Linked DNA regions of Schizosaccharomyces pombe. The protein of the gene in region 1 purifies or fractionates together with the protein of each later gene. This does not show direct contact. Each region holds a gene or a part of one and is shown in the gene's direction. Other genes may lie near its edges.

Evidence for each region. The genes of interacting proteins can lie anywhere in the genome.
Region 2: the proteins of sfh1 (region 1) and ssr1 purify together in Schizosaccharomyces pombe (affinity purification with mass spectrometry, with the first as the bait; one study listed by BioGRID). This does not show direct contact.

The regions. Positions count from the first base shown.
Region 1 is NC_003421.2:892,164-896,185, forward strand, and holds sfh1 (RSC complex subunit Sfh1), read left to right. Parts: upstream 1-1,989; 5' UTR 1,990-2,007; coding exon 2,008-3,264; 3' UTR 3,265-3,516; downstream 3,517-4,022. Other genes in the region: ubiquitin hydrolase Ubp1, read right to left, coding at 1-48; U1 snRNP-associated protein Luc7, read left to right, coding at 557-1,351; SPOM_SPCC16A11.15C (uncharacterized protein), read right to left, coding at 4,019-4,022.
Region 2 is NC_003424.3:3,603,910-3,607,981, forward strand, and holds ssr1 (SWI/SNF and RSC complex subunit Ssr1), read left to right. Parts: upstream 1-1,872; 5' UTR 1,873-1,888; coding exon 1,889-3,472; 3' UTR 3,473-3,545; downstream 3,546-4,072. Other genes in the region: translocation subcomplex subunit Sec62, read left to right, coding at 183-1,004; ghs2 (glucosidase), read right to left, coding at 3,920-4,072.

The DNA.
Region 1 (4,022 bases):
AATTTGGGAATATCGAGTGCTTGCGTTTTGAGTAGCAGTTGATGCCATTCTCAAAACATGGTCATTTATTCGTTATATTTTTGTTTCTTCAAGTTCCACTCTTATAAATTGCAAAAAATTGGGGGAATGGAGTTGTTGGTTTAAGTAAACTTGTTGTACCAAATGGTGAAAAAGGATTTATACAGGTGACGCATATTGCTGCCCTCTGTCAAGTTTGAGTTTTCAACAACAATTTGTAAAAGTTGATCTAATCGAAAGAATAAAGTATCAATATATTGCCTCGTCTATATTTAACGATTTAGAAATAGCAACTTTTGAACTTTTCCGGGAAATTTTTTTTTGAATTTTAACCCAACAAGCTACTCAAATTACATCTCAATCAAATTTGAGCGATTGTAAACTTTAATTTTGATTTAATTGTGAATAAAGGAAAAAATTCTTTATACTACTTGTAAAACCTAGTGAAATTTTCTATTCATTTTACAGCGTTTGTCGAAAACCCACAAATAGGACATCAGCAGAGATAAAATTACATTTTGCCGAAAATACACTTATTATGGCCGCTGAACAGAGGAAAATCATAGAACAGTTGATGGGCAGTAATTTGAGTAACTTTACCTCTCGAGGCCTAGTACATTTCACTGATCGCAAAGTTTGCAGAAGCTTTTTATGTGGTATTTGTCCTCATGATATATTTACAAATACTAAAATGGATTTGGGGCCTTGTCCAAAGATCCACAGTGACAAGTTGAAGTCGGATTATGAACGGGCTAGTTATTCACATGACTATGGCTACGAGTGGGATTATCTGGAAGACCTAGAAAGACATGTTGATGACTGTAATAAGCGTATTGATATTGCTGAAGCTCGTAGAGAAAAAACAAAAGAGGAGGAAGAACGGATAGATGAGCTAATGCGAGATATAATACATACCGACCATTCAATTGAAGTTATTATTACAGAAATGGAGGCGCTTGCAAAAAGAAAATTAGTGAATGATGCAGTTAAACATTTTATTGAGCTTAATAGGTTGAAGACATACAGGAAAGAATTATATGATGAAGTGATTTCCATGAATGAAATTCCCAGTCAGGCTAGCACAACGCATCAAAAGCTACAAGTATGTGATATTTGTAGCGCTTATCTTTCAAGATTAGACAACGATCGTCGTTTAGCTGATCACTTCTCAGGAAAAATGCATCTTGGATATGCCATGCTGCGAAATATTGCTAGGGATCTTCGAGCTCAATTAGAGGACCGTGAAAAATCCCGTGATAAAAAGGACGGAGAGAAACAAAGAGATAATTTAGCTTCTTTTGAAGATAAAATCTCAACTTCCTTTGTTGCATAACCTACATTTCGTAATGAAAAAGTGGAGGATCTCAACTAACCGCCTTTATTCGCTTAGTGATGCCTTTTACGCAGACCTATATAGAATCTTATTATTATGTTTACCTTTTTACGTTTATGGTTGTTTCCTTACTTGCTTTTTTACAATATTCTTCATGTCATGCACAAAATAAGTGTACCTCTTATATTTTATATTCGTTTATTTCTAATCTCACAAGGTATATTGATATATGTATTTCAATTTGAATAACAGCTATAAGTATATCCTTAAAATAAAGCAGGAATAAACTCTTTGCCTTAATATTGTCGTACTAACCCAACCATCCTTACTTGTCCTTCAGCAACTGTTTGTTTTGGAGAATCTGAAATCGAAAGGAGTCAAACTATTTTACTAAATTAACTTTTTATTTTATTTTGTATAGATATCCTTGAAAATTCTGTGATTCGAAAGTCCAGTGGCAATGTAGAAGTATTAAACGTTTATCAACGGTTCTACCAAATCAGGGCCGATAAAAGAACTCTCGATTATAATTTACGTTTAATACAATCATATAGAATAAATAAAAACATAACATAGTACTTCCAACTGTAAATTGACTTGCGGCTTACATAGTGTTTTTTGGCATACTTGTGCAAACTACCGACTTCACAATTTACATGGCTCAAGCTTGTAAAACCACATACTCATCTCGTTTGAAAACGGGAAATACATGCTTAATCCAAAAAAATGTTGCAGTATCGACTAGGTCGCATTCTTCGTATACAGGCAGAAATTCGTTGAGAAATGTTCCAGCGGTTAATTACGCCGCATTCGAACAAGGTGAGGATTTTGAAACGCCAGTAGAAACTCCAGAAAAAGAAGAGGAAAAGTTCGAAACGGATGATCGGGGGCTGGCAGTTGGCAGACCAACCGGAAACAACATCTATCCAAGATTCGCGACTAAAACAAGACATATTTACGTTACAGACGAACAGCTTAAATGCGCTGCAGAAGAACGAGATGTATACATACCAATACGGCTGGATATTGAACTGCCCAACAATTATCGACTCAAGGACACGTTTTTATGGAACATGAACGAGCAAGTAATGACACCGGATGTGTTTGCTCAAATCTTGTGTGCCGATTTAGATTTATCTACGAATGTATATGGAACGCAAATTAGTTCCAGTATTCGTGCACAAATCGAAGAGTATGCACCGGTGGCTGAGGTGCCTATGCCAAAGGGGCAGGAAATGCTCGTTGTATTCAATATCCAAGTTCAACTTGCTCAGTTAAGCTACAATGATCAGGTGGAATGGAATTTAACGAGTCCTCTTACACCTGAGGAATTTAGTGTATTAACCTGCAACGATTTGGGGCTTTCTGGGGAATCTCGACCAGAAATTGCCTATGCAATCCATGAATGTCTTTTAAAGTTGAAAAAGAATGCATGTGAGGGTGATTTGCCAGATTACGACAGTGATGCAGTTCCTGGAACGAAGGCTGGACCTCGTCAGGACATGGATACTTTGGGTGCATTATGGCAACCAGTGCTGGAAACAGTTTCCCTTGAAGATGCCAAAAAGAATGAGAACAATCGAGAGAATTTGGTGAAACAATGGCGTCGTGAAGCTTCTAAGTTTGGAGGATTTGCGGCGGATGTTTCGGCAGAACGATGGCGAGCGGCAGCTCTGGGCAATCTTAGTCAAAGCGAGACAGCCAACTTGCCCAGTGCTTCAGTGTCGGATGCACAAACACTGTTGGAACAGGAACGACCCCGATGGAGATGTCGTTGGTGCAACGTGCTGGGCACAGGAACATTTTGTGTTCGAAGAGGACCCGAAGGAAACAAATCATTGTGCAATGCTTGTGGTGTTGCATATGCTAAAACAGGACAATTGCCATATTGGAGAAAATCTCTATACACTTAAAAGATGTTTTACTCTAATGGACTGATGTATTTGATGTTCATTAGTCGTGTTTTAAGGAGACGAATTTAATGGAGAAGGTCTGACTTTATGGTTCCTCTCAAGATTGTCAATATGATTAAGTCCACCTGTACAAAAGAATGGGTATAATACACAAGACATTTAGGCAATTGAGTTACATTAGGACCGCAAGAAAGCGTCAAATAGATAATTAAAATGATAATGAATTTTGGGTTTTCGACAGAAAACAAAAAAGCGAGCAAGAACGGATTTAAATGTTATAAAGTAATGGAAGAAAAATTGTAGTGACAAAGGTAGAATTATGCTCATGTGATGATGGGCCAACCTCTGACGATTATTAGTGACCAGAATTAATTTACTTAGCATGGGTTTACTAGTTGGTCAATTTTCTTGCATGAAATACAACGCAGAAATTGTAAATACTTTAAATAGACTTCATTTACCCTAGCTATAGATTATATAATAAGTCATAAAAGAAACGTCTCTTGGTCCAATCTGTAAAATACAGCTTTTGAAAGGCCAAGTACGACAGAGCATACCATGTCGTAGCATTTCATCGTTACATAGATTCATAAAAAAAAAACAAGAGAAAAAACAATAAGGAATCATAATAATACGTAAAAGCAACGTTTATTACTGCGAAGGAGCAGAGCAGTCATCACACCCAATGCCAAGTCCATAATGGGTACAGGCCAAAGCGCTTCGCAAGTAGAAAATAGATGGCTCGCTCGCTAACTTAC
Region 2 (4,072 bases), on another chromosome or scaffold:
GATAATAACAATGATTAAACTAAATGTAAAATTTATAATATAGATTTTCCCAAATCTATAATACTGAATTTTGATTTTGGCTTTACCTCGTGACCTAAATATCGTTACCTTAAAGACGTGTACAGACTTCATCTACTCCAGAACCACATTATTTTAGATTTTTCCAAACAAGGATTTTGCCTATGGATTCTTCTAATGTACCAGTTTTGAAGGATGAAGACAAGTGCAAGTTTTCGATGCGCTTTACAAACTTCCTCAAGTCTCGCCCTGAGCTGAAAACAAAGCCAGCGATCCTCAATGGAAAACGTGTATACTACTTTCGTGTGAAGCGTGTTCTTCGCTTTTTAACATCCGAAGCGTATACGCCTAAGAAATACAAAGGGTTTCCAGAAATTTCAAGCCGTGAGGAAGCAATCGAAGTTCTCAAATTGCTCATTATGAATTCGATGCTGGTTCGCGTTGATAAACTCCCCCCTAAACAAAGAAAGCAGAAGCTTGTAGAATTACAGATAAATCGTAATCAAGATTTTCAAGACGATATGCATTATGTTTGGCTCTACGAGCCTCTTCCAAAACGCGTTATGGCTTTGGCAGTACTGTTCGCTCTTGTCGTATTGGCACTCGTTTTGTTCCCCTTGTGGCCAATGTTTATGCGCAAGGGTGCTTGGTATTTAAGTATGGGAGGCCTTGGAGTAATCGGTCTATTCTTTGTTTTGGTTATTTTACGTTTTTTCTTATTTTGCATTACTGCTGTCATCGTGCGCCCTGGCATTTGGCTATTCCCCAATCTTCTTGCCGACGTTGGCTTCTGTGATAGCTTTAAACCTTTATGGAGTTGGCACAATTCCAAATCTGAGGTAAAGAAGACAAGGAAATCCAAGAAATTGTCAAAAAAAGCCACTTCACCAGCTGCTTCTGCAACTCCTGAAAAGTCTTCTACGTCCACCACTTCTTTAAAGAATTTAAGGCACAGAAATCCTACCGTCGAAGAAGTCTCTGAATAAAAATTAATTGTTGTACCGTTGATGAATCCAGTCACTCAGCCACTATTACTTACTTTAAAAAAAAATAGTGCATATCTTTACGTTATCAATTCTCCTTATACAATTTATTTCGTCTATGTTTTCGGAGAAAGGTTCTTTGAGATTCTAAATGTGTTTTCCAAGAAACCTTGGCGTTCTCATTTTATGCCCAAACGTATACATATATAATCAGTATATACTAAATGAGGACACTAAATTCTTTTGTGTTTCTTATTGTTACGCATTTTAATTACGGCAAGTTTGTCAGTCAATGAATATTTACTCTTATTGACACACAATTCTTGCTTAACCCATTTATATGAAGCGTTTTAATTTATGTACCACTCCTGGTAGGTGGTTTGATAATTCCCTTATTCTTTTAATCTCAATTTATAACACATTTGAGCGAAATTACTAGATTCTTAGCTTGCTTTTCTCCTTTTAAAGCTAGTATAGCATTTCCTCATGACACAAGGAGTGCATTCTTACTATAGTTGGCTGATCACATAGGAGTGATTATAATTACAAGTTCACTAATATTCATGGTATAAATTGTCATCATATCATATGATATTTAACTTCATATCAATAAATTTTACTTTCCATATTGAATATTTTCTCAATTCTTTAGTGTATAGTGCGTTTGCTGTATATTTCGTTAACCAGACATCGTCATTCTAAGTCAACTCCCACTACCTACTAATTGCAGGGCATTTTAAAAAAACTTGAATTTTCAAGGTATCCCTCAATCATATAGGGTAATACATATTATTTTTCGTTGATTAAGTGCATTTTATTGACGTGAAGCTTTTAAAGCCCTTGGCGTTGAGGATTTTGTAAATATTATACTAGACTCTAACACCACAATGTCCAACGTTACTGAAAATAAACATGACTTACACGAAAACGGGGTACCAGATTCTGCTCAGCCAATGGAATTGGATGTTTCTAAAAAGGAGGACACTGAACCAGAAGTCAGAGACGAGGCCAAAGAATTTTTGTTGAGCCAGTTACCACAAGTAGAAGTCCCTGAGTGGGCGCAATGGTTTGATTTCTCTAAAGTTCACGAAATTGAGAAAAAACAAAACCCTGAGTTCTTTGATGGAAAAAATACGTCGAAAACACCAGAGGTATATAAGGAATACCGAGATTTTATGATTAGTACTTTTCGATTGAACTCCAAAGTTTATTTGACTTTCACGGCTTGCCGAAGGAATTTGGCTGGTGATGTATGTGCTGTCTTGCGTGTCCATAGATTTCTAGAGCAATGGGGATTAATCAACTATAACGTTAACCCCGATACTCGGCCTTCGAAAATAGGTCCCCCTTCCACAAGTCATTTCCAAATCCTTGCTGATACTCCTCGTGGATTGGTACCACTTCTTCCACCTCCCTCTTCTTCAATTCCTCGTTCCAAAGCTGTTACCATTGAAGATCCTTCGATTGTCCGAACAAATATTTATGATCCCTCTCTCGACGATGTCTTAAAAGGTAAGGGTTCAACTCCGAATCAAAAACCAAGCCTTTCGAACCTTCATGAAAACAACATTGATCAGTCAGATTCTCCACAGCATTGTTACTGTTGCGGTAATAAATTTAATGAAAGTTACTACCAATCTCAAACGGCCCAAAAATATAACGTTTGTATAAGTTGCTACCAACAAAATCGGTTTCCTTCACCGACCACAATTGCTGATTATAAGGAGGTCGCAATACAAAATAAAATTGAAGATGATGATACATGGACTGCACAAGAACTTGTTCTTTTGTCAGAGGGAGTGGAAATGTATAGTGACGACTGGGCAAAGGTTGCTTCTCATGTGAACACAAAAAGTGTTGAAGAGTGTATTTTGAAATTCCTTAATCTTCCTTCTTCCGACAAAGCTTTATTTAAAATGGACAAAGTGCATACCAATCCTGTGGTTGATTCTTTGCAGGGGAAGAACCCTATTTTATCCGTAGTCTCTTTCTTAGCCAAAATGGTACCACCTTCTTCTTTCACACAGAAAAGCAGCGCAAAAGAGGAGGAGTCGGATAAAGTTAAAGGTGAATCGGTTTATCCCAAACCAGAGTCAGAAAGTTATGATGTCGAGATGAATGGTAAATCATTGGAGGACTCTGATAGTCTATCAGAGTTATATCTAACTAATGAAGAAAAGAAAATGGCTTCTATTATAAAGGATTCTGTTAACGTGCAAATTAAGCTAATTGAATCCAAGTTATCTCATTTTGATTATCTTGATCAGCACATTCGTCTTAAATCCCAAGAATTAGATGCCTTTGCACAGGCAACTTATAGGGAAAAATTGTATATGAAACGAGAGTGTCAAAATGCCCGCAAAAAAATAGAGCAACAACTACAATCGAAGGATACTGCCGCAAATGGTCTACCAGTTCAAAGCTCCGCTGAAACTTCTGTTATCCCAGCTTCTTCTATGAGTCCTTCTTAATAATCTCAACTAATATGCTTATCGGATAAAAATTTATTAGGCTTTTATTTAAATGAATTTTTTTTTTATCTTATCTTAATGTCTTTGACATATCTAGTTTACTCAACTTTTGCGGCCCAAGTTCGGGCTATTCAGCTTGATCTCTTAACATTCGGCTGATTGATAGATTGACTAGAGAGCTATAGCATTCTAAGGGCAACAATTTTAACGTACTAGTATATACCAGTTGTTATCAAATTTTGAAAGTAAGGTCAGCTCAAACGTTGTGTAAATCCTTTGTGTCGTATGTTAAATTATGCAACAAATGAAAGAACTGAGAGAAAAGAAAGAAGGGACTAACTAATGGTTTATGTGAAACTCTATGAAAGTAAATGAAAAGAAATAAAGAATGAAGACAAAATGCCGCTTAATATGGATTTCGCAATCCTTACATTAAAATGAAGTTTTTCAACATCCGTCCATGAGTGAGTTTTTGGGGCGAACATATCCTGCTTCTGACCAACTGGTTGCATTATAATTTAGGTAGGCTTTAGGATGGTTCGCAATATATTCAGTAGTAGGGAAACCTTCAGGATCACAACCAAGCACGCTACTGGAATC